Diceros bicornis minor: one gene and its partner. The protein of the gene in region 2 purifies or fractionates together with the protein of the main gene of each other region. This does not show direct contact. Links are inferred from orthologs where the notes say so. Each region holds a gene or a part of one and is shown on either strand. Other genes may lie near its edges. The genes, in order: GNB5 and GNG8.

Region 1 (13,297 bases), on a different chromosome or scaffold from region 2:
CCCCTGCACTAGCTGGCTCGTGTGTAGTTACGAACACAGAGCATTGGGAAGGGAGGGGACGTGAGAGGCGGTTTGCCCTCTGCTCCCTCTGAGGGCTGCGGGCGACATGTGGAGGGGCAGCTGGGAAGTGGATTACTCTGTAGGGAAGCTCACTTCTCTAAGCCTCAGTACACACGGCATATCTCCTTAGAACACGGAAAAAGTGAATCAACACACTTGCTTCAGACTAATCCCGAAATTTGCCTTTTCTAGATTTCTCCCTACATCATAAAATCAGAAGAGTCCAAGGCTCCAGCCATAGAGCCTTTGTGAATAAAACCTTTCACCAAGTTACACCTGGAGCAGATAGAAAAGCGAATCGCATCTGATGATAAATCTTGTCACTTGCCCAAACTTCGTCTGGATTTGTACTTAGAGAAATTACGTAAATCTTCTTTGAGTTGCTTCGTTCCTAGACAACATTAGAATCTGCCACGGAGGAGCTGGGAATCTGGATGAAGCCCCCATAAAGCCCCACGAGGCTGCCGTGTATGCTGGCTGAAATGAACACGGTGCCCTCCTGCTCTGGCTGCTCCCAGACCATTTTTTCCTTTTTATTATAAAAGCAGTAAATGCCCAGATGCATATAAAGTACCTCTGCTTCCCCCTACCCCTCTGGACCCCTTGTTAGAGATGACAAGTTTCTTGTGTATCCTTCCAGAAATTTAATGCATATGTAAGCATCTCTTGTTTAAGCTAATAAGATCATTTTATATACACTGTTTGGCACTTTTCTTTTTTCTCTTTTTTTTTTTTTACTTAATATTGACACCTTTTCGTATACACACACACAGATTTACTTTTCTTCCTTTTAAATGTAAATCTTAACTTGCTGAGATGTGGCCTGGCATGGTCAGAGGGAGAGCTGTACTAGGAGCCTGGAGTCTACTCCCCATTCTCCTTTACAGCGGCTGCATAACCTTAGGGAAATCTCCAAACCCTTCCTTGGATCTCAGCTGCTTCCTCATCCCACAGGAAAAGGGGTTGAGTTGTTGGGAAGAGAAGAAAACTTTTTGTGCCTGAAGACTGAGGCTGAGGCAGGTGGCCCTTTCCAGGTTTAAGACCTGTGTGATAGGCCCTCCAAAGATGTCCACATCTCAATCTCCGGAACCCGCAAATATGCTACCTTACAAAGCAAAGGGACTTTGCAGACGTGATTAAGTTAAGGATCTGGAGATGGAAAGATTATCCTGGATTTTTCAGACGGGCCCAATGTAATTACAAGGGTCCTTAGAGCAGGGAGGCAGGGGGATCAGAGTCAAAGAAGGAAAGGTGATGATGGAAATGAGGTTGGAGTGATGTGGGGCCATAAGCCAAGGAATGCAGCCTCCAGAAGCTGGAAAAGGCAAGGAATGAACTCTCCCTCAAAGCCTCCAGAAGGAATGCAGCCCTGCTGACCCATTTTAGACCTCTGACCTCCAGGACTGTAAGAGAATAAATTTATGTTGCTTTAAGCCACTATGCTTGTGGGAAGTCATACAACAGCAACAGGAAACTAACACAAGCTGCAACCTAGTGATTCTAAAATGCCTTAGAATCACGCAGGGGAGCACTTCCCCCTGGTGGAAGGTAAGCAGAAGGCGACAGGGGAAGTTTCCAGGGAGAAGCAGGAAGCGCTGGAGGAGTAGGGGGAAGGCAGGGGCAGGGCGCGGGGCTGGGCTGTGGAGTGGGACGTAGGCTGGCTTCCCTGTAGACCACCCGTCTAAGCCACTCCTGTATTGAATGTCAGCCAAGGGTCTGACTTCAGGATGAGGGCCCCACAGAATAGACGCTGGTCTGAGGGTCAAAGGGATGGGAGCTGAAGAAGTGGGGGTCTGGACTTGGGAAAATCTCACTTTTCCTCCAAGTGTATGCTCTACAATTTTGTTGTGTTGACTTTCTAAAGGCAAGACTTTGGGCAAGTCAGAGCTAACAGAAGGCTGACCAACTGTTCCAGTTTGCCCAGGACTGAGGGTTTCCCAGAATGTAGGACTTTCCATTTTAAAACCCAGAGTCCCGGGCAAACCGAGATGATGTAGTCACCTTAGCTTATGGCCTATAGAAGTTTCCTCGAATAGGGGAGGGGCTACAGGGCTGTCTATACGACAACACCGAAATGCATAAATGTGCAGTCTCGGGGAGAGGCTGAGAGACTGGAAGAGAGAAGAGCCCAGTGATCCTGGATCATGGACATCTCCGTGGGAGAGAGTGCAGTCAGAGGAGGGGCAGTTCTGAGTGCTAAGAAGATCCCAGGGGGCTGTGATGGAGTGAGGGGCCAGCGTGTTAGGAGGGTCACCTTTGTGGACCCTGAAGACACCGGGGATGGGGCAGGGCTTAGGGTCAAAAGGAAGGCTCAAGCCATGTGCCAAAGTCCTTAAGAAGTGAGGGAGCCTGGCTGGGAGGTCAGGAGACAGCAGCACACAGGGGGGAAGAGGTAGGTCAGCTGAATAATGGGAACTTCAAAGGAGCAAGGGTTTTACATGAGGGGAGGATAAGAGGGGATGGAGGAGAAGTGGTCCAGAAGCTGCAGGGGGAATAAAGGGGAACATGACCACATGACTTCCGGTCTTTTTTTTTTTTTTTTCTGGTGAGGAAGATTAGCCCTGAGCTAACATCTGTTGCCAATCCTCCTCTTTTTGCTGAGGAAGATTGGTCCTGGGCTAACATCCGTGCCCATCTTCCTCTACTCTTTATATATGGGACACCTGCCACCATGGCTTGATGAGTGGTGCATAGGTCCGTGCCCAGGATCCGAACCAGTGAACCCCGGGCCACAGAAGCAGAGAGCGCGAACTTGACCACTATGCCATCAGGCCGGCCCCAGGTCTTTTCAATTCAAAAGTTCTGACTTATGCAGGTGGGGATAGATCCTTCCACTGTGGGTCCAAAATTTGGCCCTGGCCTCTGAGGGCACTGCATCCTTGGCAGGAGAGGGGTTCCCTGTTGAAAAGCTGCATCTTGACAACCTCTCTGCCTTAAGGCAATTTACCAATTCACAGAAAAGGCTGAAAGACATCTGAGTGGGCAGCCTGCCACTGCTGAGTACGTGAGTTTCTGGAGAAGGCCCTCTGCATAGAGTACAATGGGCTCTGCAGAAAAGCTGACTTGAGGCTGGGCTGGAATCCTGGTCCCACCACTTACTAGCTGGGGTCCTCCGGCAAGTCGTTTCACCTCTCTGTACCTCAGTTTCCTCATCTGTAAAATGGAGAAATCAGACGGCCTACCTCAGAGGCACTAATGCCACGCTTACAGCATTGTCGTTATCAGCTGCAGAGAGTAGGAATTTGTAAAGGGAAATGGGGCGGACCCTGTCCCATGCCTCCCAATATCCATTACCTACTTCCTCCCTGAAATCCAGCTCTGTTTGGGGATGGCAATGTGCCCAGCTCCGTTCTCGCTTTCCCAGTCTCCATTGCAGTAGCCATGTGGCCCAGTTCTGGCTAATGAAGTGCAAACAGAAGTCTGTAAGGGACATTCTGGGGAAAACTTTTGCTTTCCTGACAAGAAGGAGAAATAGAGGTTGGTGTCCACATTCCGCCTTCTTCCTGCCCTGGATACAGAGGTGATGTCTTGAGCTGTGGCAGTCATATTATAATTATGGGGCAAATGCCACCGCTCTCAGGGTGGTGGAGAAGAAAGACAAGAGTGTGGGTCCCTGACGGCACATTGGACAGCTGAACCAGCGCTGGCAATCGCCTACCCTTGTTCTTGTTATGTAAGAAAAATAACTCTCAATCTGCTTAACTCCTTTATTTGGGATTTATAGTTAATTGTAGCTGGACACATTTCTAAATGACATAGGAGCTTAGTGTGCCTCCTATTTAGAGGAGGCCCCTATAAAAGCACAGCATACTCTAGATTAGGTCATCTGCTTCTTTCAAGTGATTTTCAAAGAAAGGAACCAGGTGGTAAGGGACCTAGCATGAACCCCATTTTTCTCTTTCAAACACAATTTAAAGGGGGTGGTACCAAGTAGGAGTGGCAGGAGCACAATGTACAGGTGTACCTGAGGGCACTACGGGGAGGCTGTGCTCGGAAAGGGGAGCCGCGAGCCTCAGAGCTGAAAAGTAAGCAGACAAGGCCACTTCCCCAAGCCTGGCCCGGACCGAAGCTCTGCTGAGGACGAACCGTCTGACAGGTCAAAGGGAAGCTGATCCCGCCAAGAGCTATTTAATCTGGCTTTTTAACTGTTCACTCTTAAAAATCACAGACCGGTTCTGAACTATGGTAGTGGTCAACAACGTAAATTTATTCAAGATTGCTATTGCTCTTTTATGCCAATCACACTGCATCCATCCAAAAAAGCTTCTTAAACAGCCTTCAATGAACTAAATGGTTAATTTGGTAAGCTCCTCGGCTTCCCTTCCCCCATCCGGTTCTGCAGCCACCAGGAGAGGGGGAGACTGGAAAAATTAGCTTTTAAAAAAAGAGTCTGATTCCTTGTAAAAGCAAAAGTGAGAAAAGACACGGCAGTGACGGAGAAAGCCAAATGATTAAAAAACAAAACAGGAGTCTACCCTAGGCCTCGCGCACACGGGCTCGCTGCGCTGGCCACCACTGCCACCCCCTCCACCCCGCCCCGCCTGGGAAGGGCAGGGATGGGATCAGTTTGCATCTTCCAGGAAAGTGGTGACAGTAACCGGTCCCACGATCCTTCGTCGGGAGGATAGAGGCCAGGGGCTGACACCACCGGGCTCCCCCGCCCAGAGGCGGGCGGGGGCTCTGCAAGGTGCCTGGAGCCTCCGAGGGCCGCCCAGCTCGGGCCCCACACCCCCCAGGCCGCTGCCCGCGCCTCACCTGGTGCCGGACACCGGGGCCCGCATCCCCGGAACGGCGCAGGCCTGGCCCCCGCCCCGGGCCCGGGCCGCCCCCTCCTCCGGGAGCCGGGCGCCTGTCTCGTTTCCTCGGCCCGCCTCCCGGCGCGCAGCCCCCGCCCCGCCCGCACTCACGCTCCACGTCGTGCAGCTTGGCCCGCTCCTCCTCCAGTTTGCCCTTGAGGCTCTCGGCCTCGCTCTTCAGCGACGCCAGCGTCTCGTTCTCGTGCAGCCCGTCGGTTGCCATCTTCGCGGGGGACGCGGCGGGGAGGGAAGCGGAGAGCCGGGCTGCGGTGAGCGGGCGACGGAGGCGCGGCCGGGGAGCGGGCGCAGCTCCAGCCGCCGTCTCTCGAGCGCGCCCCGCCCTCCGGCGCTGACGCGGCCGCCGCGAGCCGGCTGCGGCGGCCGATCCCCCCCCTCTGCGCCGGCCTCGCCCGCGCGCCCCGCGCCCCCCGCCCCGGCACCTCCTGCGCGCGCCCTGGCGCAGTACCCCGGGCCCTGCCCGCCTTAGCGCCGCTGCGCACACCACCCCGGAGAAGCACGGAGCGTCGTGCCCATTTCACCGCTGGGAAAACCGAGGCTCAGAGATGATCCGTGATTTGCCAGGAAGATGCTAACGTAGTGAAGGGCCAAACTGGGATTCCAACCCAGGGCTGCCTGGCCCCTGGGAGTCTGGTGAAGTCCCAGTGACACAGTCCCCCCCGCCCCCGCCGCCGGGGACTTGATTCCCTGCCAGTGGCTTCTACCTGCAGAGAGTGGACGAGAGAGGAGAGGGCAACGACACCCGGCCCGATCCCGGGTGCTCCCCCGACATCGAACCGGAAACTTTCCTCCTTGGTTGACTTAAATATACAAAAATAAAACTAGTTCCGGCTTCCGAGAAGCTCTGGGGTCTTTGTGGCATTAGGAGGCCTGCTCTTGGTTTTTGCTTTTCTTTTCTTCACTCGGGAATTAAGTCCCTGGCTGGGTGAGGGGTGCACAGGGGACCAGACCCGGGGCTTCCAAGCCCACGTCCAGAGATCTCGGACGTGTCACTGGTGAGGCAGCGTCCCCCACCTTAGAATGAAGGGCGGCTGCAGTTCTCTCAAGGACACAAATGTGGTGACTGACGGCAGACTCAAGCATCCCCTCTTCCAGTCCCCTGCGGGGCCAGGCACTGTTCCCAGTGCTTTACATTAACTCCTTTAATCCTCACAACTGTCACCCTCAATGGGTACTGTTATCATCTCCATTTTACAGATGAGGAAACTGAGGCACAGAAAGATTAAATGATTTAATCCGTTCACACTCCCAGAAAGAGGCAAAGGGAGGATTTGGACCCAGGCTTTCTGGCTCCATTCGGCTCCATGCCTCCGGACTTCGTCGTGGAGGACCCAACCCATGGCTTCTCCCTCCTCCCAGCTCCATGACCTGGCACGCGTGTGTTTCTCTACAGAATGGGAAGGCAGATCGAGGTTACAAATGCTTAAGTGAACGTCTCCACGCAGACTCTTGGGTGCTATCCCCACCCTCTTTGTACCCCTTCTTCTTGAGGAATCCAGCCTTGACATGTCGTAGGCCCTCTCTATCTAAGAAAAGTTGGAAGTAATCTATATTAGTCTACACATAGTTGTCTGGGAGGTTAGATTCTGAGCTCCTCAGTTTCCCCATCTAGAAAATCTACTTCATGGCGTCTACCTCACAGGGCTGTTATGAGAATTAAATCAGATGATATGCGTGAACCTCTTAGCCAACTGCTCCATCGCAGCAGATGCTTATTAACTGCCAGTTCCCTTCTCCCCACCCATCAATAAGGTTTATTCATCATTTATCCTCAGTGTTTAGCCTAATGACTGGTATATAGCAGGTGCTCAGTTAATGTTAGTTTATTCAATGGATGTATAAAACAAAATATGTAAATATATATGAAATATATAATTAAAAATAAAACATATAAAATGAGATACAAAATATATAAATGTTCTAGATACATTCAACCATTTACAAAAGCAAAAACATTAGATCTGTTTCAGAGTTGGTAGAGCAAAAGGTTAAGAGCATCGGCTCTATCTAGATCAGACTGCCTGGGGGCAAATCCTGGCTGTGCTGTGTGGGCTTGAGTGATTTACTTAACTTCTCTGTGTCTCAGGCTCCTCATCTGTAAATGGAGATAACACCTTCCTCACAGGGTCCTTGTCAAGAGTGACTACGTAGCGCATTCAGAGCAATGCATGGCACACAGTATGTGCTCGCTATTATTATTAAGGCTACCTGATACACTTGAGCAATTCACATGAAGTCATTGAAATGAGACACTAGGTCACGGGGAACGCTTCTCACAGGGTCATCTCAGAAGGCCCAGGCAAAGCAGCATCCTCTCCCCCTCTCCTCAGGCTGACACGTCTTGGACCATCATGGGGTGTGTATGCCTGCCTCGGGGTCTACCTGTCTCTGAAGACCTGGGGTGAGTGGAGTGTCACACTGCTGTGTGCCCTCCTCTGGAGGTTCTCTGTGTAAAATAAACCCCAAACACCCTCCCATCTGGAGAGTCTACCATCTAGAGATGAGGCCATGTAACTTTTTAATGGCTGGAAAAGTTTGCAAAGTGCCTTCCTGTACTTTGGCGTTCACTACTTTTCATAAGTGAGGAAGCTGGAGATCAGAAAAGGTGATTTCAGGGGTGGTGGAGGTACAGGGTTGCCCCTACTCACGAAAAGGGTCCCCTGGGGGCTGTGTCTACACAATCCCAAGCACCTGGATAAAAGGTCAGCTGTCCGTCATTTGGATGTCTCCTCAGCCAAAGACGTCTGTCTGAATATTTGGGAAGTGCTGTGGTGGAGATAGCCGGCAACAGTCCCCTGAAGAGTATCTCCAGGCAGGGCCTCTGACCTGCTGAGAATCTATGATGCCTCAGAGGACCCCATGTCTGGCATTCTGGGCTCCTGCTGTCCACACAGGAAGTTGTTTAAAAAACAGAAGAGCTAGATTAATAACTAGCACTGCTCCAGGATGGTAGGGCCACCAAAAAGCAGATTTATTTTAAGAACTGAATGTCCTCAGTTTGAGAATTTGCAGAACCAAGTTTAGAACATAATGTGCTGCAGGTAGAAGCCCGTTCCCTGAGCCTGAATCCTGAGACCTCAGGATTACTATTCTGTACCTCTGTGATTACTAGCCTGTGTGTCACCCTGTCCTGTCTACCTGCCATTTGTTTTATGGGAATAACGTTTTAAAATGTAATCACTGTCAGGGGTTACAATGGGACCAGGAGGATGAATATTGCCTTTCCTCTTCAGTTGAATAAAATGTAAATGTCATCTTTCCTCCCTTTGATATGTATTTTTTTAATGTGTTGATAATTGGGGATTTCCTATTGGGCTATTGGGGAAGAGTGCTTTACTGCTTTTGACCAGGTGGAGGCTCCACTCAGCTGCGCTACTGAGCACTGCTTTGCACATCCTCTGAGATAGGACTAATAATTCCTAGGGCTTCAGCCATGCTGTGGCCCTTTTTGCTGCTAGATCTGAAGACTGTGCATAGCCTGTTGAGGACTGATTTGTGTACTTTGACAAATGCCAGAATTTGTGTCCTGTCCCTAGCCCTCGCTGAAGGCTTAGGCCCAAGGAGCACTTTTCCCTGAGCTTAATTTTGCTCGCTACTGAGGCCCTGTCTGGTTGGATCTTGAATAGAGCTGTTCCTAGGGACAGCTGGCACAGGACCACTGGAAAGGTGCTCCCAGGCTATTTATTTCTCAGAGTCCCTTTTAGCTTGGTTGCTTGCCAAGCAGACTAGTAGAAGACAGAAGAAAAAAGCATTAGCGCTAAAAAATAATAATAGCTAAAACATTCATTGAGCACTTCCTGTGCACCATACTGTTTTAAACACTTTATCAAATGAACTCATTTGATCCTCACAAAACCCTGTGAGATAGATGCTGTTTTTCCTCTTTTACAGATGGGAATACAGATCTCTTGAGAGAGGCAAGATCTGTTGGCATACCATCACCTAACAACATAACTAGGATTTGAACTTAGGCGATCAGAGACCAGAGTCCACACCCTAAACCCGCATGGTCTGCTGGCCCACCTAGCCCAGGTGTGCTGAAAATGTTTGTGTGTAAACTGATTCTACGGCAACTCGTCTGTCACAGGACCCTCACCTTAGATATCGTTGTAAGACAGGTAACTACTTAAATTTTTAAAAAGTGGCACTTACAATTTCTGCACATATTGAACAGTAGCTGAACTGCTGAGATTTCTTGAAAACCGATCTCAGAGCCCTTTGTTTGAAACATTTGTCACAGGAGCCAAATACATTAACTAGAAAGGTCTGATCACACATCTTTTACCCAAGATGAAGCTGCAAGAGAAAGGGAGAGAGAAAAAAAAGGTATGTGTGAGAGAGAAAAGCCAACAGAAACAGCTTTGTAAAACCTCATCTTCCTTTATCACGTAGTTACTCCAACTCCTACATGTGGGATAAAGAATATATGGTTAATTTGTAACCTGTGATTTATTATAACATGCTAGGTCAACCCCAACTCACTTATTTAATCAGTAAGAAAGAGTCAGACAGTAGGTTTTCTGAACTCATGTTTAACCGGTTTTTGGCAGCTTGCAGACTCGGTCACAATTGATCTTTGCAGCACAATATTAATCCCGTGGGGCTTCACAGTGGACAGTGTCATTGTAATGGATACTATAATTTAAAACTTAAAAAAAAAAATTCCTCCTCTCAGGGTGAATTTTGGAGTAAAAACAAGAGCCAGAAAATAGTGGAGCCTGACCCCGACCAATGCCACGAGGCCAGGTAAATGCGGTGTTGGTTCCCTGCAAGGAACGCATCCCGTTTATTAAACATTTAACAGCCATACACCCAGAGTCCCTGCCTGTCCACCCAGAAGTCAACAGACAGGCCCAGGCCACAGAAGGGAGCGCAAACTTGAGGAAGCAAAACCATCTAGTGGAGAAGGGTACTGGCTCTGGCTGACTGGGTCCGGGTCGCGCTGCTTAGGCAGGTTACTCGACCTCTTTGAATCTTTGTTTGCTAATCTATCAAATGAGGATCTTAAAACCTACCATCATAGGGTTGTCAGGCGAATTATGAGAGAGAGTGCGTAGAGCACTTAGGTCAAGGCCGGAATATACTGAATGCTCCATAGATGTTATGCTGCCCTGTGAGTGGCTGCCACAGCAGCAGCAGGAAGGAGGGGAGGGAAGGGGGATGAGGCCAGAGATGCAGCAAGAGCAGAGAAGAGCCTATGGCCACAGGTCAGGCAAGACACAATGAAGGCCTGAACTAAAGCAACGCTGTGGGATGGATTTGGACCACACTTATGAAGGAGGAGGAGGAGCTGGACTTGGCGACATGCGGGAACGAGGGGACAGAGATGTCTATGTCTCCTAGATTTCTGTTTGGGAGGCTGAGGGGCTGTGGTGCGACTGCTAGAGATGGAGGACGAGGAGGTTTAGGTGGGAGGGAGAAGACTTTGTAGCCGTACCAATTTAATAGGCGTTCCAAAGAGCGGGCCCTGTCAAGGTTCAAAGAAATGACCCTCTGAGTTTTTTTGGAGCGCTGGTCTGAATATTTCAACAGAGCCAAATTTGAAAGGGATGTATTTGTGGAGGAGAGGGCAGTGGGGACACCTCTGAGAGGGAATGTCCACACTGCAGAGGTCACCGTGGAGCTGGAGAGAGAATGGGGAGCTCATGAACTGGGTTGAACTCCTACAGCAAAGGGGCAGCTGGCATAGTTCTTGAGATCACTAGGTGACAAAGGAGTAGAGGGCAGTCCTTTAGGCATGAGAGATCAGAAGGGAACCAGCTACTGACCACCGTGGAGCGCTCGGCCCTGAACTCTCACAGCCACCCTGGCAGCGGGGAGGCAGGACATCTGTGTTACTGCTGAGGAAAAGTCGAGGGATTAAACAACTAGTTCAAGGTCGGCGGTGGAGCCTGAACCTGTAGGTAGCGAAACTCAGCAACCCTTACTGTGGAGCAGCACGATCAAGTTGCTCAGCTTTGTCCCAGCAAGCGAGTTAACCAGCACAAAAGGGCCTGCGCACAGAGCCCGGCCCGTGGCGGGGGCTCTGTCACGTTGCCCCTCCCCTCCTGAGCCTGCCAAGGCAGCCCGACCGACCTTAGGCCGTGCTGGGGTCTCCAAGTAATAGCATTAGGAAGGTGAGCCATGGGTATTCAAGTGGATTATTCCAGCATTTGCGCTTCCAGAAGTGGGTCAGAGAGAGAATGTGCAGCAGGAACATCAACTAGGCTAAGAGATTGTTGTTATGTTCTGGGGAGGAGGAGATGAGCTCTGGAGAGAGCAGCAGCTGCAGGAACGGAAGGGAAGAGGAGCCCCAGGGACCAAGTGGAGAAGGAACAGAAGGATGGCTGGGAGTTGTGGGAGATCAAGAAAAAGAGAAGTGGAAACAAATTGTCGATATGCCAAATCTGAATAGAGACAACGTTTTCCTTCCCAGACTGAATTTTAATTTTTTTTCAAATTATAAAAGCTGCACATGTTCATTGTAAATAAGTGGAAACAGAAGAACATGAAGAAGGAAAATTATTCCTGTGCCAACAAATAACTGACCTGTTAGCATACTTTCTTCCAATATCTTCATAAGCATATATGTGTATACTTTTTTTAAAAATCAGAATTTGTGCCATTTACAATTTTGAACTTTCATTTTTTTGCCTAATAGTGTTTTTGTCTTCATGTCATTGCATATTCTTAGAAAACAACATTTTTTAACGGAGACCAAAAGTTTTGAGTCATATCAACCTTATATCATATCACATTTTAGATTTGGCTAGCATTTTAGATTTGGTTGGTTAAACATGGGCAAGCTACAAACTAAATTTGAAAGATTATAATATTTTACAGCTATAAATGTTATACATGGTCATTGTAGAAAGTTTGGAAAAATCAAAAGGGTATAAGGAAGAAAATTATCACCCATAATCCCACTACGCTTTTCACATTTTGGCATATGCAAGAGCAGATTTTCTGGACCATTGGGGTCATCCATTCATGTATACTGTTTATATTTTTATATCCTGATGTCTTTCATTTAGTGTTTATATTATGAGCTAAATTTAATTTTAGTACATTCTATTGTACTTATTGTCATGATGAGGAAACGTTTCACAACTAGAGCAGATGCTTCTATGAGCATTTTGACAAGAAAAAGGTAATAATGCCTCATTTTAACAAGTTTTGACATGAAGTTGCTCTGCAGTAGTTCATAGAACTTTCCAAGTCTTCCTTAAGCCTATACCAAGCACAAAATTTCTTTGAAGTCTATTTCACCTAAATATATAATTTAAAAATTACAACCCCCCCATATTTATTTTTAAGAGTCAATACTAAAGACAGAAATTCAAAAGTGAAAGTCCCCATCACCTCCCCTGCCTTCACTCCCCTTATTTAGTTTGGTGCATATTTTTCTAGACTTTTATGACACCACAGATAAAGCTTTGTTAGTTATACAAATGGGGCTGTTAGCTACTTGCTTTTTTCACCTAACTTATTCTGTTAGTACTTATAGATCTATCTGTTTTTTGGTAATAGCTTCAGTATTATTCTATACAATGGAGTATCATAATTTATTAAACCAACTTCCTATTGTTGGATATATAGTGTGTCTCCAGTTTTTACTTATAGAATACTGCTTCATTGACCCAATTAAAAATGGGCAAAAGAACCGTCATCTGTTGTTGGTGGGAATGTAAAATGGCACAGTGCTGTGGAAGACTATTTGGCAGTTACTCAAAAAGCTAAATAGAGTTGTTACCATATGACCCAGCAAATCCACTCCTAGGTATATACCCAAGATAACTGAAAATGTATGTTCACATAAAAACGTATACATGAATGTTTGTAGCAGCATTTAAGCTAAAAAGTGGAAACAACTCAAATGTCCATCAACTGATGAATGGAGAAACAAAATGTGGTATATCCATACAGTAGACTGTCATTGGGAAATAAAAAAAAATAAAGTACTGCTACATGCTACAACATGGACAAACCTTGAAAACATTATGCTAAGTAAAATAAGCCAGACACAAAAGGCCACAAATTGAGATTCCATTTATATGAAATGTCCATAGATTAGAGGTTGCCAGGGGGTGTGGAGGGGAGAATTGGGAGTGACTGCTTAATGGGTATGGGGTTTCTTTTTGGGGGTGATGGAAATGCTCTGGAATTAGATAATGCACATCCTTGCGAACATACTAAAAACTACTGAAATGTATGCTTTAAAATGGTGAGTTCTACGTGCATATCTTAAAAATTATTTTTAAAATGGGCAAAAGACTTGAACATACTTCACAAATGCAGATATTCATATGGTCAATAAACATGTAAAGAGGTGTTCAACATCATTAATCATCAAAGAAATGCAAATTAAAACCATACTGTGATACCACTACTTACCTACCAAAATACCTAAAATTAAAAAGACTGACAATCTGAGGTGTGGGCGA
Region 2 (11,336 bases):
CTGAGTCATTCCACACCAGCCCAGATTCCCATCTGGGTCGGTGTCCTCAAGAGGGCAAACGCCAAAGCCGGCCAGGAAATGGGGCCCTAATGGGCCTCACCCACGCCTGCCGGCCAGCGCCTCCAGCCACCTGCCCAGGCCTGCATCTGGACCGCTGACCTAAGATCCCGGCCTGCCCTGGGCCCGACCCTCTGCTGACGGTCTGGCTTCCATCCTCCCGGCCGTGCCCTGGGAAGAAGCTGGCCCCATCTCGTCCCCCACACGCGCGCCACCAGCTGCTCACGCCTGCCAAGCCCGCCGCCCGCCTGTGCCCTCTCCCTGCTTCGGGAAGCTGCCATGTGCCACCCCGACCTGCCCCTACTCGGCAGGTCCCAGCACCTACAGCTAAAGGCCGTTTTTCTCTGCCACACCCTTCTCTCCACCCCCACGGGCCCGGTCTACCTGCCGGCCTCTGCTTCTCGCCCCTGCTCCAGGGGGCTCTACTGGGTCGTCCCTGCCCTTCCTCTGTCTGGCGGGGGCCCTCACCTTGGACACCCTCACGTCCATCCTTCAAGCCCCCCGAACACATCCAGCCCTCCTGCCCACTCATGCACTGGCTCCCACTGCAAACTCAAGCCCCAACTGGCCAGGAGGCGTCACCTCTCGTGCCTGTGTCTCATGTCTGCAAAATGGGGATAAGCAGAGTCCCTTTGGCTATCGGAGAATTAAGTGAAATGTGAAATGAGACTCTTGATAAGAGAGGACCATGATGAATCCTCATTCTAGCTCTGGCCTACCCCTCCCCCAGACCCCCAGCCCCCCAGCCGTGCCAAGCACTGCTCTGAGCGTGTGGGGTGCAGATGGGAGACAGCCTTGGAGGGGCGGCCAACGCCCTCAGGGTTTGGGGTAAAGTGGGAGGGGACCACTGAGGGCGCTCACCTCTCTGCCTCTTGGCCTGGCTCTGACCCCAGAGACCTCATGGCTGGGGGTGGCAGGAAAGAGCAGCGGGCGACCAGAAGCTTGTGCTGCAGAGTCATACCCACTAACAAGGTTATCTGGGTTTGCATGCGTGGAGGCTGGTCACTCGGGACCTGCCCTGTCCCTCTGGCCTCTCCTCCCTCCCAGCCTCAGTCGTGACCAGGTCCAGGCTCGCTCAGCCCCCCTCCTCCCTCTCCCTCCTCCTCCAGGCAGACATGTCCTCTGGCCGCCCTTCCTTCCCCACATCAGGTCAGCCAGCTCTGCTTGCTCCTCCTTGGATTCCATTCCTCAAGACCAGGAAGGCGCAGGAGGAGGAATCTATGCTACCCCGCCCCAAGACCCCAGGGCTGACAGGGTCCCACTCCCACAGTCCGGGATTTAAGTGCCGAGCTCCGGGTCCTAGCTGGACAAGGCCGCAGGACCCCAGAATCCTGGCCCCACAGGATTGAAGGACTCCAGAATTCCAGCCCTCCAAGGTCCTGGAATTCTAGATTCCTTTGCATTTCAGGTTCTAGGGTGCTGGGCCTGAGAAATTCCAGAATCCTTCCGGCAACTTCCCTCCCAGCCTCCCTGCCCCCCAGCTCATCCTTGGCTCTCTCTGTCCCCCTCTCTCCCCCGGGGCTCCCCCAGACATGATGCAACTAGGTCGGAGCCAGCTGAGAGGTGGGAGGCAGGAGAGAGATGTAATTACAGCTGCTCCTGATCAATGCAACAGGAAGCTCAGAGTGGGGACCCAGGGGACCCTAATCCGATGTGAATAATGGAGCACTTGCCAGACGCATGCACAGCCCCCTCTGGGGAGGGGAGGCCTGGTGAGCCGGCTCCATCCAAACCCAGGGGTCCAGCCTCAGTCAGCCCCAAGCTGGGGAGCAGAGGTGTTAGTCTTGAGAGAAGAGGAGGTGGGGGTGAGGAGAGGGGACAGGGTCGCGAACTCAGAGGCCCTCAGGCCAACCAGGTAAAATAATTAACCAAACCCACAGCTCACCCAGTCTGCATTTCCTCATTTTCAACAGACGTGACACTTTTCTCCTCATTCCACCCTAAGAAGCCCCCAACACGGGCTCCATGATAAATAACAACTGGCCCTCAGCCTCCTGAACCGGGAGACAATACGGTACGGTGGGGCCTTGGGTGAGCTGGAAAGTCCAGGTCCCATCTCATAGCCTATGGTCACCCTGTGGGGCTGTGCAGGTCTGAGGTCACCAGACTTTCCAATTCGGGAGAAGCTAGAAATAGGGACTTTTATATGATGTACTCCTATTTTTCAATCTGGCAACCAAGTCAAGAACATTTTTAAACATTATGTAGGCCAAAAGAAGAGAACCAAAAAAATATAACTGCAGGCTATCTATGTTCCGTAGGCCACCAATATGTGAAGTGGAAAACATAGGGCCAGTAACCGGAGCTGTCACAGTCACCCCGGTGTCCCCAGGACAAAGAAAATTATTGTTGAAGGAAGAAATGTACCCATTAATTTGTCTCTACCTCTAGCCAAGCTTCTCTCTTCTCCGGGTCCCCAAGTTTTATTACCACCATGTTCCAGCTTAGATGTCCCCTCCTCCAGGAAGCCCTCTATGCTGAGTCAGGCACTCCCTCTGAGCTCCCCCACCCCAGCCCTGCCCACTCGGGGTGTCACTATCTGGGGACAGATCTGTCTCTCCCACTGGATTCTGAGCCCCAGGAGGACAGCAGCAGGGCTGTCCCCATCACAGCCATATCCCTAGCTTCACCCAGCACAGGGTGGGTCACAGAGTAGGTACTCAGGGAGTACTTGGAAGAAGGAATAAATGAACAGAGTTCAGTGCTTAAAGACAGAGGTAGCCCTGCAGCAGGCGGCAGCCAGATGGGAAAAAAGGGGGTCCTGTCATTCAGGGGATGAGAAAAGTGGGACCGGCACCCGGGCTCCCAGGAGTCTCCAGCCCAGGACTGAGCAGAGGAGCGAGGCCAGCTGAGGGTTCCGACAGCGCTGGAGTCCACAGTCTTCACCCCATTACCTCCTGGGTGCCAACACACCCAGCATATCCTCACCCCCACCCCTCCACATCCCACACGCACTCAGAAGGAATGAGAAGGAACACAAATCTGCGCATGCCTCAGTTTCCCCCGAAAGCACGGGTACCACCAGAGTCACCACGTTTATTGGTTTCATACTGTGGCAGGGGAAGGTAAGCTGTCGGGAAGGCTCAGAGCAGGACGCAGAAGAGGCGCTTGTCACGGAAGGGGTTCTCTGCGGCGGGCACCGGCGTCACCAGCGGGTCATCTTTGGCGTGCGTCTCGCAGAACGAGAGGAGCTCGGCCGCCGCCTGCGACACCTGCGGGCGCCCGGGATAAGTCCACGCCCCGCCCCGAGGCCCCGCCCCCGGGCCCCTCCAGGCCTGCTCCTGTCCCGGCTCCGCCCCTTTCCCGGTTCCGCCCCAGGGCCCCGCCCCGGGCCCGCCCCTTACCAGGCTCCGCCCCTGTCCGGGCTCCCTCCTCTCGCCCGGCCCCGCCCCATCCCAAGGCCCCGCCCCCGGCCCGCCGCTTATCAGGCTCCGCCCCCGTCCGGGCTCCCTCCCCTCGCCCGGCCCCGCCCCATCCCAAGGCCCCGCCCCCGGCCCGCCCCTTATCAGGCTCCGCCCCTTTCCGGGAGCCCTTCCCTCGCCCGGCCCCGCCCCGTGCCCCGCCCCAGGCCCACCCCGTACCAGGCTCCGCCCCTGTCCGGGCGCCCTGCCCTCGCCCGGCCCCGCCCCGGGCCCCGCCCCGGGCCCGCCGCTTATCAGGCTCCGCCCCTGTCCGGGCTCCCTCCCCTCGCCCGGCACCGCCCCGTCCCAAGGCCCCTCCCCCGGGCCCCGCCCCGGGTCCAGCCCTGTTGGGAACAGGATCTTCCCACTGCGGCTCCGGGCTCCACCCCCAACCCCGCCCTGTCCACACCCTGGCCCCGGAGCCCCCGCCTTCCTCCCCACCCTGACCCGGCACCTTCATGCGGTCGATGTTCACCTCCAGCTTCAGCTGTTCCACCGTCTTGCGGGCCTCGGCGATCTTGGCCATGTTGTTGGACATGGCTGCGGCGGAGAAGGGGTTAAAAGCCGGGCGGGAGTGGGCGTTGAGGGGGTGGGCTAGGGCAAGTCTGGGTCCCCAGGTAAGGGTGGCGGTGGTGGTGGGCCCCAGTAACAGGGGCGTGGGTGGAAGGGCGCACGGATGGGGTGCCCAGAGGCAGGTGCAGAGAGGGACAGGAAAACAGAGGGAAAAGGGGAGGGGTGAAGAGACGCACAGATGAGGGCCCAAGAGGCAGGCCGAAGGAGGGACAGTTGAACAGGGACGAGAGGGGCAAGAGGAGGGCTGGAGGGGTGCACAAATGGGGTACCTAGAGGCAGGTGGAGGAACAGAGAGGGGCGAGGGAAGGCAGGAGGGAAGCACAGATGGGAGGCTGAGAGGCAGGTGGAGAGGGAGACAGAGGGACAGGGCCACAGGTGCTGGGTGAGGACCCAGGTGTCCTGGGCCCCCGGGGATAGAGCATGAGCCAGGAGGGGGCCCCTCCCCAGGCCAATTAGCGGCGGCTCCAGGGAGAACAAAGAATTAAGATCGCCGCGGGAGGGGCGCAGAGGGGGCCTCATTAGGGCCTTGGCAGCAGCTGCCCCCTCCACCTCCTTCGGGGGCCCCCCCACCCCAGACCTGGCCACCTCAAAGGCTCCTCTGCTCATTAGTAGCCGGAGAGAGGGCTGGGGGGACCCGGGGGGGGCCACACCGGCCATGACTGGGAGAGGGGAAGAGAGGATGGAGAGAGAGACAAACGGAAGGGCAGAGACAAAGTGACAGAGGGAGAGACTGAGGCACGGGGGAAAATAAAGAGACTGAGGAGGGTGAAGGAGAGATGGAGAGATGGGGGAGGGATGAAGTGATGGAGGGAGTAGAGGGAGGGACAAATAGAGAGGCAAAGGAAGGGACTGATGATAGAGGGGATGGAGGCACGGGGGGACAAAGTGACAGAGGGGGACAGAGAAGGGGAGCTGGAGGGGTGCAGGAGGGATGGGGTGGGAGAGGACAGAGAGGGACAAATGGAGGAGTAGAGGAAGGGACCGGATAGAGGGCGAGAGAGAGGCACAGGGGGATACAGCAACAGAGGAGAGAAGGAGCAGGGGACAGACAGAGGGAGATGGAGGGGCTGGGGGAGAGCCAGGCAGATGGAGACGCAGAGGTATAAAGTCATTCATTCGCTCATGCATTCGTTCATTCCCAGGCGGACAGACTGTGGCCGGATGGGCAGAGGGACTAGCTGTTGGGGTAGGACTGGAGCCTCCTACCTGTTGCGACTCAGGGCTGGGATGGCGGGCGGGTGGCAGAGGCTGGGAGGCAGCGTCTGGGTCCCCTGTCCCCAGCCCCGCCCCGCCCCCTCCCCCAGGGCGCAGCCCCTGAGGACCCGCCTCCTCCCTCCACCACCACTGGGTCTGTCTCTCTGGGTCCTCTCTCTATGTCTGTCCGTCCCCCTCTTCGTCTTTCTGTTTCTGTGTCTCTGTCTCCTGTGTTGTCTGTGTCTCTCTCTCTCTCTCCCAGTCTCCCCTAGCCATCTCTCTCTATCCCTGTCTCTGTCTCACATACAAACACAGACACACAAAGACACAGTCTCTCAAGGCGTGCCCCACACCCTGCTGCACTTATTGCACAGTCACACAAATCTCTCCTGTGTGTCCCACATGGGCTCTCACTCCGTCACACATGCTCTCCCACCCTGTCACACCCACCACCTCAGTGTCACCCAGCTCAGACGACCCCTCTCAGCACACAGACTCACACTCGCCGTCCCTCACACAGAGATGCACAGTATCTCGCTGGGGCACCCAGTGTTGCGACACAGTCTCACAATCAACCTGTGCTCAACACACAACCTCCCACAGCGCCACAGTCACAGGGTCTCTCACAATGTCACTCGTGGTCCCTCACCATCTTTCATAGCATGGCACATCATCACCAATGACGTCTTGCACAACCACAGTCAGATATACCATCTCAGGGTGTCAAATGTACAAACAGTGTCACACACAATCTCTCAAGGTGTCACACACATTTACATGAATTGAGACTTCAAACCTCTTTGTCAAGCACTGTCACACAATATTTTGTAGTCTTACACAGCAACACACAGTCTCACATCCACTGACTCCCACATACAGCCACGCTCATTCTTGCACAATCTCCCGCTGTCACACACAATCTTACACACATTCCCTCACACACAGTCTGTCCCACCACACACACTGTCGTGTACAGAATCTCTTGCTGAGCCTCACGCAGTCTGTCGCACACAGCTGTCACCCTCACACAGCAATCTCGAGTGTTGCACACTTACACACACATGGTCTCTCTTGTACTCTGAGCTCTGAGTGCCCTGCACAGTCACACACTCTCTCACGCACTGTCACAACAGTGTGTCTCTCAGTAGCCCACACGATCTGTGTCACACATTGTCACACACAGTGTGTCACAGTTCATCAGTGTGGCTGACACGTACTCACACAGTCTCTCTGTCACACCCAGTCCCCCCAGCCTCTCACACTGCCTTCTTGGTGTATCACATTCATTCAGTCTCACTCTCTCTCACACATCACCTGTTTGTGTGACACACACAGCGCTCTTGTCCTCACCATGTTGCACACTCACAATCTCTCACTCTCACATATGGTCTCTGCATGTCACAGAGTCCCCCAAATAGTGTCTCAGGTACATGCAAACTCAGTGTCACACACAGTCCCCTATACATCATCTCTCTCATCTCACATACAGTCACACACACATCCTCTCGGTGTAACACACGATTTCCCACAGTCACACCCAATCTCTGTCACACAAAATCTCACAAGGTCACACAGCAGCACACAACCTCTGGCGTCACGCACAATCTCACAGTGGTACGCACTCACACCGTCTCTTGGGGTTACACACCATCTCCCGGGGTCACCCACGGGCACCCACAGTGTCCCTCCTGCACGGGGCACAGCCTTCGGGAGCGCACACTCAGCTCTCTGGCCTCTCTGGACAGCCCCGGTCAGCCACACGGGGGCGCCCGCGGCCCGCCGAGCCGCCCACCCCGCCGGCGCGGAGGCCGTAGGGATGGGTGGGAACCGGGAGGGCCAGGCGCCCCCGCGCGGGCCGGCCGGGGATGCAGGCAGCGGAGAGAGAAACAGAGAGAGGCGGAGGGGACTGGAGGGAGAGCACTGAAGATGGACTGGGACACAGAGAAATTCCGAGAGAGGCGGAGATGCAGGCAGAGACAGAGAGCCGCAGAGACAGAGGGGCACAGAGACGGAAATTTGGAGAGAGAGAGACCTAGGCACTCAGAGAGACAGAGACAGAGGATTGCAGAGAGAGACACAGAGACATGCAGGGGGCAGGAGAGACACACAGAGTCAGAGGCAGGGACCGAGAAACACAGACACCCAGAGACAGAGATAGACGCGGGCAGAGAGACAGACACGCAGACCCAGCCTTCCGCAGGGGACCTGTCGGCAGAGGCGCGTCCCAGGGGCGTGGCCGGGGGCGCGGGCCCGCGTTCGAAGGGGCGTGGTCCGGGGGCGGGGTTTATCAGGGGCGTGTCCAGGGGCGGGCTGTTAGGGGCGGGGCCTGGGTGCGGCGTGCCCCGAGGGGCGGGTCTTGGGGCTGGATCCCAACAAGGCCACCCGAGCCCGCTGCGGGGGGGGCGGAGGCTGAAGCACTGGGAAGAGGTGGAGGTGGGGGAGGAGCGTCTCTACCGCAGTCTGCCCATCCCAGTTCGGTTTTTACCGCCTGGACAGGGAAGGGAGACAGGCAGGGAGGGGACACCGGCCTGGGTCCTTAGTAGCGATTTGATAGGGGGGTATTGGACCCTGGCTCCCCTCCCCCGTCCATCGCAGGAGAATCAGGGCCAGGTGGGGGAGGGGAACCAGGCTCACATCTGGAAAGCATCAGGCGCGCCGGACGTGCCAGGGCCCGGGGCCCGGCTGCGGAAGGGGGTAGGGAAGCTGGGGCGCCCTCGTCCCCCCCCCCACCCAGCGGGGTCTGCCGGCGCCGGGGAGGGGCCTGGGCGTGCGCCGAGCCTGGGCGCCTCCTGCAGCTGGTTTCCATCAGCAGTTTTGGCCTGGGCGGCCCTCGAGGAGGAAACCCAGCCTAAGCGAGGGAAGACAGGGTGACGACCCAATCTCCCCTCCTCCTCCCCGACGGCAGCCGGAGGCTGGGAGGCGGGGGAGACGGATGGACGACACTGCCTGAACCCAGCGTAACCTCCATTTCTCTGCCGACCTGCGGGCCTCGGCCGTCTGTCCACCCTACGCATAACCTTAGTTTCCAGGTGTGCAGTCCTGCCCCGTGCTGCACAAGAATCGCCCCAGCCTGCTGACAACCTGGTAGTCAGTGGAAGTATTGTCCCCATTTTTTGGAGGGGGCAACTGGGACCCTGGATTCGGATTCAGTCCTGGCTTTAATTATTCAAGAAACGTGCAATGAACGCCAACTAATGCTAGGATCCGGCTCGAATACCCAATCCCTACTGAATAGTCCCACCTGGAATATTATACGGAAGCAACCTAAGTGTCCATCAGTGGATGAATGGATAAAGAAGATGTGATATATATATATGCCTGGTGGGTATCTTAAACTCAAGGCGTCCGAAACTGAGGTCCTGATTCCACCCACCGAACCCTCTCCTACCGCAGTCTTACCTGTCTCAGTTGATAGAGAATCTTCGGGTCATTCTTGACTCTCCTCCCTCTCTTGCACCCCAGAACTGATCTAGTAACAAATCCCATTAACTCCATCTTCAAAGTCTCTCCACAATCCAGTCGCTTCCTACCTCCTCTGCTCCAGCACTCCGGTCCAGCCACCACGCTCTCCTGCCTCACTGTTACAGTCACTCCTCACTGGGTTCCCAGCTTCTACCTCTGTCTCCTTCAGCCTGGTCCCCAGAGAGCAGCCAGAGGGACCCTGTTTGAAACAAAGTCCCCAAATAATAGCAAGTGTTGGTGAGGAGGTGGAGAAATCGGAACCCTCAAACACTGTTGGTGGGAATGTAAAATGGTGCAACCACTTCAGGAAGCAGTCTGGCAGTTCCCGAAAAGGTTAAACAGTTACCACGGGACCCAGTGATTCCACTCCTAAATGTCTACCTAAGAGAAATGAAAACATACGTCCACACAAAAACTTGTACATGAATGTCCACAGCAGCGTTATTCATAATAGCCTGAAAATGGAAACAACCCAAGTGTCCATCAACTCTTGAGTGGATAAACCAAATGTGGTAGATCCAAACAGTGGATTATCCTGTGGCAATAAAAAGAAGTGAAGTATGGACACAGGCTACAACGTGGATGAACTTTGAAAACATGATGCTAAGTGAAAAAAGTCAGTCACAAAAGACTACATATTCATGAGTCCATTTATATGTCCAGAATAGGCAAATCTATAGAGACCAAAGTAAATTAGTGGTTGCCAGGGGCAGGGGAGCTTGGAAGATGAAAGCTAAGGGGTGCAGAGTTTCTATTTGGGGTGGTGGAAATGTTCTGAAATTTCCTCTGCTGGTAGTTGCACAACTGGGTGACTATACTAAAAGCCATTGATAAGACAGCGATGAAAGAAATTGAAGGAGACACAAATAAATGGAAGATATTCTCTGCTCTTGGATTGGAAGAATTAATATTGTTAAAATGTCCATACTACCCAAAGCAATCTACAGATTCAATGCAATCCCAATCAAAATTCCAATGGCATTTTTCACAGAAATAGAACAAACAATCCCAAAATTTGTATGGAACCACAAAAGACCCTGAATAGCCAAAGCAATCTTGACAAAGAAGAACAAAGCTGGAGGCATCAAACTCCCTGATTTCAAACTATATTACAAAGCTATAGTCATCAAAACAGTATGGTACTGGCATAAAAACAGACACATAGATCAATGAAACAGAATAGAGGGCCCAGAAAAAAACCACACATCTATGGACAGCTAATCTTCAACAAAGAAGCCAAGAATACACAATGAGGAAAGGACTGTCCAATAACTGGTTTTGGGAAAACTGGACAGTCACATGCAAAAGAATGAAACTGGACCATTATCTTACACCATACACAAAAATCAACTCAAAATGGATTAAAGACTTGAATGTAAGCCCTGAAACCATAAAACTCCTAGAAGAAAACATAGGTGGTAAGCTCCTTGACATTGGTCTTGGCAATGATTTTTTTGGATTTGACACCAAAACAAAAGCAACAACAGCAAAACTAAACAAGTAGGGCTACATCCAACTAAAAGGCTTCTGCAGAGCAAAAGAAGCCATCAACAAAATGAAAGGCAACCTACTGACTGGGAGAAAATATTTGCAAATCATATATCTGATAAGGGATTAATATCCAAAACATATAAAGAATTCATACAACTCAATAGCAAAAGAACAAACAATCTGATTTAAAAAACGGGCAAAGGACCTGAATCGACATTTTTCCAAAGAAGACAGAGATAGCCAACAGGTACCTGAAAAGATGCTCAGCATCACTAGTCATCAGAGAAATGGAAATCAAAACCACAATGAGCTATCACCTCACACCTGTCAGAATGGCTATTCTTGAAAAGACAAGAGATAAGTGTTGGTGAGGATGTGGAAAAAAGGGAACCCTTGTGTACTGTTGGTGGGAATGTAAATTGGTGCAGCCACTATGGAAAACGGTATGGAGGTTCCTCAAAAAATGAGAAATAGAACTACCATATGATCCAGCAATTCCACTCTTGGGTATTTATTGAAAGAAAACAAAAAGCACTAACTCAAAAAGATACACGCACCTCTATATGCATTGCAGCAGTATTTATAACAGCCAAGATATGGAAGCAAGCTAAGTGTCCATCAATGGATGAATGGATAAAGACGTGGTATATGTATACAATGGAATATTATTCAGCCATAAAAAGGAAGGAAATCTTGCCATTTGCGACAACACGGATGGACCTTGAGGGCATTCTGCTAAGTGAAATAAGTCAGATGGAGAAAGAAAAATACTGTATGATCTCACTTATATGTGGAATCTTAAAAAAAGGAAAAAAACCCGACCATAGACACAGAGAACAGATTGGTAGTTGCCAGACGCGGGGGATGGAGGATGGGCAAAATGCGTGTAGGCCATCAAAAGGTACAAACTTCCAGTTATAAAATAAATGTCATAGGGATGTAATATACGCCATAGTGACTGTAGTTAATAATTTTGTTACTGTATTGCATATTTGAAAGTTGCTGAGAAAGTAGATCTTAAAAATTCTCATCACAAGAAAAAAAATTTTTTTGAAAAAAAGGCATTGAACTCTATACTATTTTATATGAATGAATTTTATGGTACGTGAATTATATCTTAATAGAGCTGTAACCCCCTCCCCCCCCCAAAAAAAACCT

The links.
Region 1: the proteins of GNG8 (region 2) and GNB5 purify together in Homo sapiens (co-immunoprecipitation; 3 studies listed by BioGRID and IntAct, with this or other methods). This does not show direct contact. The link is inferred for Diceros bicornis minor from reciprocal best matches to the Homo sapiens genes GNG8 and GNB5.

What each region holds. Positions count from the first base shown.
Region 1 is NC_080744.1:48,139,240-48,152,536, forward strand, and holds the start of GNB5 (guanine nucleotide-binding protein subunit beta-5), read right to left. Parts: upstream 5,141-13,297; 5' UTR 5,080-5,140; coding exon 4,968-5,079; intron 1-4,967. UniProt on the Homo sapiens protein: Enhances GTPase-activating protein (GAP) activity of regulator of G protein signaling (RGS) proteins, such as RGS7 and RGS9, hence involved in the termination of the signaling initiated by the G protein coupled receptors (GPCRs) by accelerating the GTP hydrolysis on the G-alpha subunits, thereby promoting their inactivation.
Region 2 is NC_080773.1:22,191,765-22,203,100, forward strand, and holds GNG8 (guanine nucleotide-binding protein G(I)/G(S)/G(O) subunit gamma-8), read right to left. Parts: upstream 3,997-11,336; coding exon 3,913-3,996; intron 3,270-3,912; coding exon 3,141-3,269; 3' UTR 3,067-3,140; downstream 1-3,066. UniProt on the Homo sapiens protein: Guanine nucleotide-binding proteins (G proteins) are involved as a modulator or transducer in various transmembrane signaling systems.